Zea mays: one gene and its partners. The main gene of each other region encodes a partner of the protein of the gene in region 3 in a complex. Links are inferred from orthologs where the notes say so. Each region holds a gene or a part of one and is shown on either strand. Other genes may lie near its edges.

Region 1 (3,889 bases), on a different chromosome or scaffold from region 3:
TCTTCTATTGAGCCATACAGGATAGAGGATGCACTAAGAGATCCGGACTGAGTGGTGGCAATGCAAGAGGACCTCAACAACTTCACAAGGAATGAGGTATGGTATTTAGTTCCATGTCCTAACCAAAAATTAGGGTGTTACAACTATTAGGGCTTGTTTGGGAGAAACAGGATTGGAGGGGATCGAGGGGTTAAAATTTCTTACTTCTCAATAAGCCCTTAAGTGATTTACTAAATTTTAGGTACCTGAATTTTAGTTTTTAGTGTGTTGTAATTTATATAGACATAATCTACATTTTTACTCTTAAGAATAAAATATCTATTGAACAAAATCATAAATTTGGTAGATTTTGATTTGTGTTGACATAAAGACCATTAACATTTTGCAATTATTTTAGTAGTTAGCTAAGGGAAAAAATATAGGTTATAACATAAAGGTAAACAATAAAATTATAGTCTTAGACCCCCTTTGGACCCTTGGAATTGAATTCTAATATAATAATTGTAATTTAGACATAAATCAATTAAACTAATATGGTTTTATAGTGAGTATATTTGTATATTAGTGTTGGCCATATTTGAGAGATATTTATATGTTACATTTCTACTATAGGAGAGTGAGTAGAAGAGTGTGTTATAAATTACAGAGTAGAAACGTAGAATTGAATACATAAAATCAATTTCCACCCCATCTTATGAATTTGAGATGAGTTTATATCTAAACTTTGGAAAGTGGTGTAATATCAAATTCAAATCAAATAACCTACTCTATTAAATACTCCCTCCAGTCTTTAAATACTTGATGTTTAAGTGATTTTCACTTTGGATGCAAATACTTGATGTTGAAGCATTTGAAGCTTATTTTGGACTAGCAAATGCTTGATGTTGAAGCATTTGAAGCTTATTTTGGACTAATATACCCTTGATATAAGTGGTTCACACATTCTTCCACATATGCTTAATTATTCTTATCGTGAAGGTTTGATCTCACGACCTAGTGTAAAATTCTTTAGGACCCAACCATCTAGGCTAACATCTTCATGTGTTTGTTGTGGAATCTAAGCGTATTTATTAGGGGTATTATGGAAAATAACAACCCTATTTAATAGCTCCTTGGTATATGAGGTCATGTCCAAAACATCAAATATTTGAAGACTGGAGGGAGTAAATTCCAATTCTTTGAAAATAAAAGGATCCAAATGGTCCTTTATTAGCAATCAGTGGTATATAAGAGTGTTGCCTAAATTTTAGGCACCAAAATATGAAGAAGTGTGCTATTATAAAAAAGAAAAAATATTTCAGAAAATTGTCAGCCTGAACAAACTATGCGCTTTCCTTCAGCCAAGGCAGCCTCAGCCCTCGAGCCTATGCCTATCCAGGCGCAGAACACGCCATTTGTAAACCAATCCTAGCCGTGCGTCTTCAATCCAACGGAAAGTTCCTCCTTGTCAATAGCAAATCGGAGGCCCAAGCGCTCCCAATCTCTCCGGGTCCTCTCTCCGCATTCTCCGTCATGGCTGAGCCGACGCCGTCGCAGTCGCCAGCGCAGACGCCGCCCCCGCCGCCGACGCAGCAGACTCCCGCGGCGGGTGGGCTCGAGGACATGCTGGCGTGTGTGGCGGCGCTGGAGGCCGCGCTGCTGCCGTGCCTCCCCGCGCGCGAGCTCCAGGCCGTCGACCGCTCCCTCCAGTCCTCCCACCAGAGTACGGCCGACCCCCATCATTTCCCCACTCTCCTCCTCTAGAGGTAGCTTCACTTTGATCCGGCACGGCTTCGACACCAGTAAAGTCTCATGGTGTTCGGTCGGTTAATGGCGCCGTCGCGCGCCACATGTTCGTTGTTTTGCCTACGGGATGGATAAAGGGATCTTGCTCTTTCTAGAGGAAGATTTTGCATCTTTCTTGTGCCCAGGAAATTGTATATCGATTGGTTTCTTAGGTCCTAGACTGAGAACTCAACTTGTATCAACTGTACCAATCAGGCAATCACATTGCAATGCTTATTAAAGAAGTAAATCACATTTTTAGATACCGACTTAATAGTGTGCAATGCTTATTAGAGAAATTTAATTGCATTTTCTCATTCGTTCCTGCCAAACAGGGTATCTAAGTGTTGTAGTCTCTACTAAATTGGGCAGTTGATGTTGAGAGGCACGCAAGGGATTTCATGGAGGCTGCCAAGAAGCTCCAGTCTTATTTCATCAGCCTGCAGCGTGAGGAACCGCCATCTGCAGAAGAGATGCTTCGAAAGGTATATTTCTACTTTATCCTCGTATAGTTAAGAGTGCGGCAAGGATAGTAGTTAAATTAAATTGGGGACTGGTTATGGAGAATGAATTAATTATAAAGTGTTTGGTTTGAGGAATGAGCTAGTCCATCGTCTTCTCACTTCTCTTTTTTTATTTGATTTGTGGAATGAAATAAGGAATGGAGTCATTCCTTATAGTTAGTTAGTACTAATATGAGAAATAAGGTCATCCCAGCAAATTTGAGGAATGGACTCATTATACACCACATCATTTTGGATTGAGTGACTCCTCAAACCAAACACTCCCTTAAAAGTTTTCATTGGTGATAGGATTGACATTTCACATGATATGATCATCCCAAGTACTGTGATCATTTGTGGTTGGCACTATACTTAGGAATAGCCAACTTTATAAATCACATAGTGCTACTTGCTACAGGCAGTTTGTTACACTCAGTATAAGCTTTATTACAAAGACTCCTATATTTCTACTCGAAGTTGAGGTGTTCATTATTGAAAGAACTGGTAGCCTGCCTGAATCGTCACTTCTACAAAGTAATGTTCCCAAGGAACACCCAATCACATTCATACACCTAACACCTTCTGTGCTCATGAATTTTTCATGCACACGTTTCTGTAAAAAAATGCCTTTGCAGTAGTTGAGAGAATCACAGGTGCATAGTTGCTGGTCTTAATTAGGAATTTGGGATACATATACCCACCCAATATTTATCATCTCGTTGGCATGTTCGGTTTTGCATTGCACAGGAGATTACGACAATGGAGGAAGAGTTGAAGAGCAAGTCTGAGCTCATTGCCAAGCACAAGAAGTTGATTGAAGGGTGGCAAAAGGAACTGAAGGAGCAGCTGAGCAAGCACATCACGGAGCTTGAAAGGGTGTGAGGAGTGCGATTCTGCGGTTTACCTTGTAGTGATCATGAACCTCTAGGTGACCAAATGTTATGTTATGCCCTATAAAACTGTGTACATGTGCTTAGAATCTGACGCCATGGTTAGCAATCGCCTTTTGTTGGTTTCTTAAGGTTGGAAGCCACGAACAAAGCCCACTTTATCTATGTTTGATTGTGTACCTTTACTTGCCCCATGGTCTCTGTTGTTGTGCAAAATGAGTCTCTGCCATCATAAAACGACATAGAATGCTAACGGCTTCCTGTCTTTATGGGTAAACTTTGGGTGAATTTATGGGTAAACTTTGGGTGAACTGTTGGAGTCAGCCTAGCGGGTTATGTGCCTACTCTGGATGGCCGCCATGTTCGCAAGTTCCTTTCTATCTTTACTCCATTTGTGCCTGGATCAGCTCGAACAGAACCTTCTCCTGACAAAAAGCCGAGCCAAGTGGCACAGTTGCTACGTTGAATACACGAGCAAGCGAAAAAAAACACTTTGTGTTTTATCTCCGTTCCTAAAGGTGCACTGCCAGGTTGTTCAGTAATCCACTACTAGTCAAAATCTTTCTCAATCCATTTCAATACACCTTAATCCATATGATTTTGCTATAAAATGAACAAGACCTAAGGACATAATCCTTGTCATCACAATTCATATGGATTGGAGATAATTGGATGAGTTTAAATTTATAGTAAGTTAAAATCTCTATTTTTTTTCAATCACATCTAATCTAT
Region 2 (4,140 bases), on a different chromosome or scaffold from region 3:
GTTAGCAATGCTTTTGGAGATGATTTCAATTTATCATGGGACCAAGTTGATGAAGCTATTGGTGCATCTGCACATCTCAGAGGTCGTAATTTTCCTAGGAGAGCTGGTGGTGGGTGTGTGAGAAGGAATGAAGACCTTGAGGAAGAGGAGACTAATTTAGCAAATGAAGATGATGAGGAATATATTCTTGATGATCTTGATGTGGAAGATGAAATTGAAGGAAGCAATAGTGGAAAAGATGGTGACGATCAAGGCGCTATGCTCATGGTCTTAATATCGATGAGTTCGATGATGGTTACTAATCATGCATAAAAGTTGTAACTTGTGTGGTTGAACTTGTGTTGTTGAACTTGATATGTTTCTTTTTATGCTAATGCTATTTGGTTTGTGAACTCAACTTATGTATGAACTTATTCTATATTTGAAATTCTATGTCAAGTCTGAAAAGACGTTTCAACGTTCGTTTAAACGTTTAAACGTTGAAAAGTTGGTTCATAACGTTTTAACGTTTTACCGCTTTAATAACCATGTTTGAAACAGCCTCCTTGCATAATTATGCGAGGGTGAGGCTGTTGAGAATCCCCTTCTCCAGAACCCACATTGTGTTCAGCTTTCAGCACTAGGTACACAGCTGACAGCCTGACATAACAACAAAATTAAGGTACAGTGGGGCATATTTAAAGGAATCCATTGGCTCAGTGGAATGATGTAAAATGCCATTAAATCAACCTCAGTACTTCTGGATCCGTTGAGGAAGTGCTCTTTGGACTAGTTCAGTGCTATATCTAAGCTTGGTTGGGACAAAGGAAATCTTAAACTTTTCATTGTCCTTGTCAACTTATTTTTTACTAGACAGTCTCATTTTTCTGTCCTACGTTTAATTACATTTGTAGCACAGAAATTATATGTCAAGTTGTCAATTAAATTTAAAAGAAAAGGATTTTATGGATGTGAACCAGATAATGAGCAATCTAATAAAAATCAGAATACTTCATCTTGATTTTGTTACAAAACAAAAGTGGCTTGCACGATTGCACTAGGATTAGCTTGCACCAAATATATGCTAGAAACAAATATTTATGACAGCATAACAACCACATTACCACAGTTCAAACCATATAGTGAAATATTACAATTTGAAATGGAAGCAATATAAATCAATGAGACTCCCGTGATAAAAAAAAACTCGGCCGGGGAGGGAAAGACCGCCCTCCCGGTATTATATTAAGAAGAGACCGAAACAATGGTCCCGGCCGAGAAAATCCCCGAACCCTGGCCCCCAATCACTAACGGGCCGGCGTCAACTGTCCACTCTGCAACGGCCCAACCGGAGGGTGGCGCACAGGACATCGTAACCCAAAAGCGGATGGGACACAGCGAGGGGATTTTTTTAACCAAGCCTGAAAATTCGCTCCCGGGGGGAAATCGAACCCAGGACTTGGAGGTGCTACTCGGAAGTCCTTAACCACTAGGCTAGAGGCCCTTTCGCGACTCCCGTGATATATAATGCATTTTCAATGGTTTAATAGTTTAATTATTAAATTATATTTGTTGATTTTACATTCCCCTGATCTATGTGTGCATGGTGGTTCGCAGTTCGCACTATTTCAAGTACATTGTAAAACGGTCTTATTTCACTCGTCGTTTATGCTAGAGCACACCATGACAGCACCAGAAAAATAATATAAGTTTCTAGTGCGAAACAAATTGAGCTTTTTCATAATACCACTGCACCAAAACAAAATAAACAAATCAATGAGTATGCCAAGATTGAACTGGATTACATTTTGTCCACCAAACAATCATTTGTGTCCTACTAGGAACTGGAGTACAGACCCTACAAAATTAGGGGCAAAAATGCTGGCACAATTCATCAACAATCACCAATCTTCACTATCCCACTACACTGCAATAAGACAACAACTATGAATATCCTTCTTTACATGCCACTCGAGCTAGATAGGTGAGACAATGCCACTAAACCAAACTAAAACAGGATATTAGGCACTCACACCAGTCAGATTGAATTCTTAGCATACCTCAGCAGAATTATGACAAGGAGACAGACAAGCAAGAGAAATAGCAAAGACTGAAATTAGGCATCACCTGCTGACACCACTTGGCAAGGACGTGGAGACGAAGCATGCGCTGGCGTGTGCGTGTGATGAACTTGAGCAAGTCAATCTTCTTCTCGGTGTCGGACCGCTGCCAGCTGCCATTGGCTCCGGCGCCGATGCCCTTCCCCTCGGCCTCCGCCTGCGACTTCTCCACGAGCTCCCGCAGAGCGAGATAAGACTCCTCCGCCGCACGCCGCACCACCGCGCCCAGCTCCACCGTCTGCTGCCCCAGCTCCCCTGCCATCCCCGCACGCACGCCCGTCCCGAACAGCTAGGGTTTCAGCGCCCACCACCTACACATTCTCCAGTTCCTTCTCCTAATTAACTCCGCAAAGCGCCGGAGACGAAACTCTAGCCCTGTATCGCCAACGTGCGCACGCGTGGGCCGGGAGGAATCTCGCAGGATTCGCCGCGCCTCCCCGTGAATAGTGGTGGAAGAGGGAGTGGAACTGAAATTGGAAACCACTCAGTCAAGGGTAAGGCTCAGGGAGGGGACCGAGGGTGGCCGCGAGAGAGGGTGAAAAGGAGAGAGATGGTGGAAGCGAGAGACGGAGGTCGGCGGCGGCGAAGCGGCGGCGTGGGTACGGCCTCCTCTCTCTCTCTCTCTCGCTTCTGCGATCGATGAGTTCAGGACCGGCGGAGGGTGCGAGTGCGCCCTAGTCGACGGGCCCACGCGGAACCGGAGGCCTGGGCTAGTAGCCTAAGGGCATGTACAATGAGTATCTTAAGTTGTGTCTTAGAGTGTGTCTAGGGGGGTGAATGTAAAAAAACTCAAGACATGTATCTTGACGAAGACACAGTGTCTTAGCTCTATGTTCGAGACAGGAGGCTAGCTGATTGGTCACTTTAATTTATTGAATGCTCTGATTGGTACAATGAATATGGTAAGACACACGTTTTAGACACGACCACTGTATTGTGTTGTGTTTTAGCTGTGTCTTATACTTGAAGTACCGTGCAGTCGTATCTGGGTTGTACATGCCCTAAGGGCATGTACAGTGGAGAGACACCAAAACGGTTCTCTAAGCACAGGAGACAACTAAGAGACTCTATTGTACAATGGAGTGTCTCTAAACGTAGTCGGTTAATAAATACAGAATTAAATGTATTTGTATAGCATCAGATCGATAGAACAGACGACAAATTCGTACAGTGGGAAGTGAGGCGTTTGTTGTTACTTGGTTTACGAGCCAGAGGCGTCTCTTCACGGAGAGACGGCTCTAAGATTTTTTTGCAAATAACCCCCTAAAACACCTTAAGAGCCCCCATATTAAACACCACTGTACATGCCCTAAGAAATACAGAGGTTATTGCCGAGGAGGTGACTGTCTTTGGAGCATTAATGCAATAATTGAAAGGTATGATTCACCGACTATATTTGTATGTTATGTATATCAAAAACTTTACATTTATTTATCTATTTACGTTATTGCCTTTATAGTGATGTTTGTTGTTATTTTTATAGATGATTATGCTAAATGATATCACATTTGTACATCTAATAGACGGAGGAGGACTAGCACTCTAACAAGTGTTTGGGTAGCTTTAAAAGCTCTTCCTATCCTTGTGAAGAAACCACACATTGGTGCTAAGGAATTACAAAGTTCACTTCAAGATACCTACAAATGCATAATTGCTCATGACACAGTTTGATATGGAAAAGAGAAAGCCTTGAAAGTGTTGTTTGTAACTTGAGAAGAGAGCTTCCAACTATTGTGCTCTTGGAAGGAGGTAGTGTTGCATAAGTCACCTTATAGTGTCATTTGTTGAATTAATGTGGGTCTGGCCCATATTAATATTCAATAATAGTCAATGCTAAAGGCCCATTTTAATGCTACGGTGTACTAGTACTTTAGTATAATACCAGAAGTTTAAGGGACAATTCAATCAACTTAAATAGGTGGTCCGTTGGTGCATCTATTGAGAAGCTGAGAAAAGGATGAAGGACTGCCACACGTGCGCGCGCCGCCGACCGGGCAGGACCGTGGCCGTGGCTAGGGCTGGGAAAAAAGCTCGAACTCGA
Region 3 (4,302 bases):
CTTTCAGTGAATATGGTTCATTTTGATATTGCTATAACCAAATATACATTCATGTCTATCTACTGGCATAGCTTTGGATTTTAAAGTGAATTATAGCATAACACAGATCAATATACTGTTTTCTTCAAATATAGAACTGTTAATGTTCTGCTGCCACAGGCAGTGGTGGATCCAGGAATGGATCAAAGGAGGGGCTGCTAAAAGAAGGTTAGTTTTTTTAGGCTGAACTAAATGATATATCAATGTTTAATATAACAAAGTAACAAGTATAATTCAAATCTTCAAGACACATGTAGACAAAATAAGTAGGTACGAAATCTATAAATACAATACTCAATATATACCGCTCAAGATATCTCCATCAGCTTACTCATCCTCATCTCATATTTCAAACCCCACTCTATAAATAGTGCATTCTACAGTGTAAAACAATGTTTTACACGGTCATATGCACGATCTGCTGGCCATAGCCTCATGAATTACGGTTGCAACGTAAATTTATCTTTCGAGTTCTTATGCCTTAAAAACGTTTCAAAATCTTGTGCTGGCTGCAGCGTGCGCCTTGCGCTGGCCTGCACCTTGTGCTGGCTGCTGGGCGCCTACACGCTGCTAGCTGCTGCAGGTGTGTCGGCCATGCACGCTGGTCCGTGGCCGTGTCCTGCGTGGCGGCGTGGGTGCACAGTGCGCTGCCCGTCAGGCTTTGTGATGCGGCACTGGCACTACTGCAGTGTTATGGCACGGATGGGGGCCAGGCGCGCGTGTGTGCGGCACTACTGTTTGGTGCTGGTGTGCTGTGGCGACATGGCTGCGTGGACGAGATCGGGTGCGGGTGCTAGATGCCACGGTTAGATGGAAGGCTGTTACCTATTTTTGTTGGATTTTATGGACTAAAATTATGATATGATATAAGTATTATTGGACCGGGGCCGCCCCTGGCCACAAGTATGTGTAAATTGTACATTTTAATGGGCATTTACAACAGTGGCATTTTTTTATTTTAACCGCAAAATGATGCTAGAAACTTTTCCAGTGGCTGTTTGCCTTTGGGTTGAAAATCATTGGCATCTCAGCAGGTGTCTCTAAATTAATTGACTGGCTGGACAGCTGATTCATATGATATTTTGGGTTGTGATGAGTTAATATGACAGTTGGAATTTTGGGTGATATTTCATATTTTATACCTTTTTGGCTTCAATGTTTGATTTACTACCTTTCTTCCTTTTATGATTAATGAATGTACAATTGTACATGCAGAACCTTGATAGGATTAAGTGTAGGTTGTTGGAAGGAACAAATGCCCAAGATGTACGGGCACTTGTGTTGGACATGCAAGCAAGATTACTTCTGGATATGCTAGGCAAAGGAATCGAGTCTGCCCTTACAAATCCATCAACTCTGCTACCTGAGCCCTGGCAAGCTTCCAGTGATATGTTATCCAGCATCGATGCTGACAAAATGACTGTTGAGCCAGCTCTGCTTCCAAACATCCAGGTCAAGCTGTCTCCTTTATGCAAGTTGTTTCTATTTCATAGCCATGGAACTTAAATTCAGCTATCTAACATTCTTTCTTTCTTTTTACTGACTTTATTCTTTTAAGACTTGCTACTGAGCCGTTTTTTTTCATTTTATAAAGTAGTGAGCAGTATATTGGTATGCTAGATCACTTCCATGTAAACGGTACTTTAGTTATGTTGGTGAACTCATGTGCAATGTCTGTTATCCTTTGCCAAAACTGGTGTATTACAGCCTTTTAATGTTGAGTATTGTATAAATTTCAGCACAGGTTATCTGCATAGGGATTCTTTATGTTACTAGGAAATAGCTTATTTTATTTGCATTCAAATGCAGGGTTACGTTGATGCTGTTCTTGATTTAGCATCACATTTCATAACTCGCTTGCGGCGTTATGCGAGTTTCTGTCGAACTCTGGCGAGCCATGTGGGGCCATCTTCTACCACAGGCACTTCTAGAAATATGGTTACAAGTCCAACAAACAGTTCTCCTTCGCCATCAAATAATCAAGGTTAGCTATGCCTGCTAGCTTGCTAAATCTTGTGTTTTTCTCTTGTTTGTGCGCAAAAAAGTACATCCAAACCTTATGTTTTCTTCATTGCAAATTTGAGGCTTAAAGTGTTGTTTATTTAGTGCTGCTAGCATCTTGATGCTCCTTCAAATTTCAGGTAATCAAGGGGGATCAACATCTGCAACAGGGAACTCACAAATGCAGGAGTGGGTCCAAGGTGCAATTGCTAAGATTAGTAACAATTCTGATGGTGCTGCCACTGCAACACAGAATCCAATGAGCACGAGGACATCATTTATGCCCATCAGCATTAATACGGGCACTTTCCCTGGCACACCTGCTGTGAGACTTATTGGGGATTGCCATTTTCTTCATAGATTATGTCAATTACTGCTATTTTGTCTGCTTTTCCGAAGAAGGCAATCACCAAGGTTACTTGCCAGTTCGCAAAAAAATCAAGATTCTGCCATGCAGAAAATACAACACATGATGAATGCTAAGACAGAAGATAACAGTTCGACAGTAAGATCTGGTCTAGGGGCTGCCAAAGTAGAAGAAGGTCACTCTGCGCGTGGTGGACAATTTGTTCTTGGTGGTGCAAAGGGTCCTGAAGAAAATCCAATTGGCAAATCTGTTAGAATAGGTTCTGGCAACGCTGGGCAAGGTTATACTTCAGATGAGGTGATTATCAAATTCTTGACAAGATATAGTATTTTTTACAGAGTTTAATATTGAGTTATACTAAGGAAACTTTGGGAGTTAGTGCTACCAAACTGGGACTGATCGTTGGCATTTGAACTTTGGGAGTTAGTGTGAAGAAGCTGACGATGTGCCAAATGCGCTGGAAAACTGGTGACCTGAAGTCCTGAACATAGTGATTAGTTTGGAAACAACTATGTTTTGGCTCCTGCATTTCTTTGGAAATGTCTAGCTTTGGTTGCTATGGGAGAACACATGTCGATATAGCCATCATAGAGTGCAATTGCGTATGTAGGTTATTTTGGACCCTTGATTTAAGCAGTTTAAAATTTTGTCCAGCCTAGCATGAACAACAGTTTGATTGCATATGTCGTTCATGATCTCTATTGAGTGATTTATCAGATGCTTTACAGATCTGTCTTTCTATTCTTTGGAAGATTTCTTTTTGTCTAGTTTATCTAATTATCTCTGTAATTTTATTTCATTGTTGGTAGGTCAAGGTCCTTTTTCTTATACTGGTTGACCTATGTCGAAGGACATCTACCTTGCCGCATCCATTGCCTGCCTCTCAGGTTGGTTCCAGTAGCATTATCATAAGGCTGCACTACATTGACGGCAACTACACAGTGCTCCCTGAGGTAGTGGAAGCGTCTCTTGGTCCCCATATGCAGGTACTAGTCAAATTCTCATGGAAGTTTCTAATGGTCGCTTTCGTACTATTTGTGGCCATTTTGAGCTACCAACATCTATCAATTATAGGAGTAGAAGTTGATTTTCAAGTGCACGACTCAGAGATATTGCAAGTCTTCCTGTTTCGAACTGAATTCAGGACGACCACCTTTAAATGTTGATTAGGATTCTCTTAGCAGAAGTTATCTTTTTTGTATTAGCCATTTTTTATAGAAACATGCACTATTACTGCCAGGGCCTTAGACATGGCATTTTGAGTGATCCCTCGATGCCTACTTCCCCATCTATTTTCAATATTTCATTGTTTCCTATGTCTGTAACTCTGTAGAATATGCCTCGTCCACGAGGAGCTGATGCTGCTGGACTTCTACTTCGAGAATTAGAACTGCAACCTCCTGCGGAAGAATGGCATAGACGCAACATGTTTGGTGGACCCTGGTCAGAACCAGATGATTTTGGTCCATTGGACAATATGCCTCGTCTAAAAATTAGTGGTTCCATCAACTCTCATTTGTCTGACATGGAAGTGGATGCTGTCAGTTCCATTGGGATTGATCTTTGGCCAAGAAAGCGTAGGTTATCTGAAAGAGATGCTGCATTTGGTCTGAAAACATCTGTAGGTCTTGGAGGTTATCTAGGTGTCATGGGATCTCGAAGAGATGTTGTCACGGCTGTGTGGAGAACAGGTCTCGATGGTGATTGGTACAAGGTGAGTATGGTTATGGTCGCTTTACCTTTTGCTGTCAAGTCTGGGTTCATAGTTCCTTGACGAGTTCTTTATTAGAGAATCCTGGTTACTCCCCTAATATACTTCGATGCCTAAATTTGTTGTTTCTTCTTTCTAGTGCATACGTTGTTTGCGGCAAACTTGTGCATTTGCGCATCCTGGT

Evidence for each region. The genes of interacting proteins can lie anywhere in the genome.
Region 1: uncharacterized protein LOC100216950 (region 3) and Mediator of RNA polymerase II transcription subunit 28-like share a complex: the UniProt entries of both Arabidopsis thaliana proteins name them as parts of the mediator complex. The link is inferred for Zea mays from reciprocal best matches to the Arabidopsis thaliana genes SFR6 and AT3G52860.
Region 2: uncharacterized protein LOC100216950 (region 3) and mediator of RNA polymerase II transcription subunit 14 share a complex: the UniProt entries of both Arabidopsis thaliana proteins name them as parts of the mediator complex. The link is inferred for Zea mays from reciprocal best matches to the Arabidopsis thaliana genes SFR6 and SWP.

Annotation. Positions count from the first base shown.
Region 1 is NC_050103.1:84,916,282-84,920,170, reverse strand, and holds Mediator of RNA polymerase II transcription subunit 28-like, read left to right. Parts: upstream 1-1,366; 5' UTR 1,367-1,512; coding exon 1,513-1,702; intron 1,703-2,136; coding exon 2,137-2,249; intron 2,250-3,014; coding exon 3,015-3,149; 3' UTR 3,150-3,334; downstream 3,335-3,889. UniProt on the Arabidopsis thaliana protein: Component of the Mediator complex, a coactivator involved in the regulated transcription of nearly all RNA polymerase II-dependent genes.
Region 2 is NC_050097.1:176,303,009-176,307,148, forward strand, and holds the start of mediator of RNA polymerase II transcription subunit 14, read right to left. Parts: upstream 2,856-4,140; 5' UTR 2,362-2,855; coding exon 2,107-2,361; intron 1-2,106. UniProt on the Arabidopsis thaliana protein: Component of the Mediator complex, a coactivator involved in the regulated transcription of nearly all RNA polymerase II-dependent genes.
Region 3 is NC_050096.1:232,623,719-232,628,020, reverse strand, and holds the start of uncharacterized protein LOC100216950, read left to right. Parts: upstream 1-1,455; coding exon 1,456-1,491; intron 1,492-1,848; coding exon 1,849-2,023; intron 2,024-2,180; coding exon 2,181-2,704; intron 2,705-3,216; coding exon 3,217-3,393; intron 3,394-3,740; coding exon 3,741-4,121; intron 4,122-4,257; coding exon 4,258-4,302. UniProt on the Arabidopsis thaliana protein: Component of the Mediator complex, a coactivator involved in the regulated transcription of nearly all RNA polymerase II-dependent genes.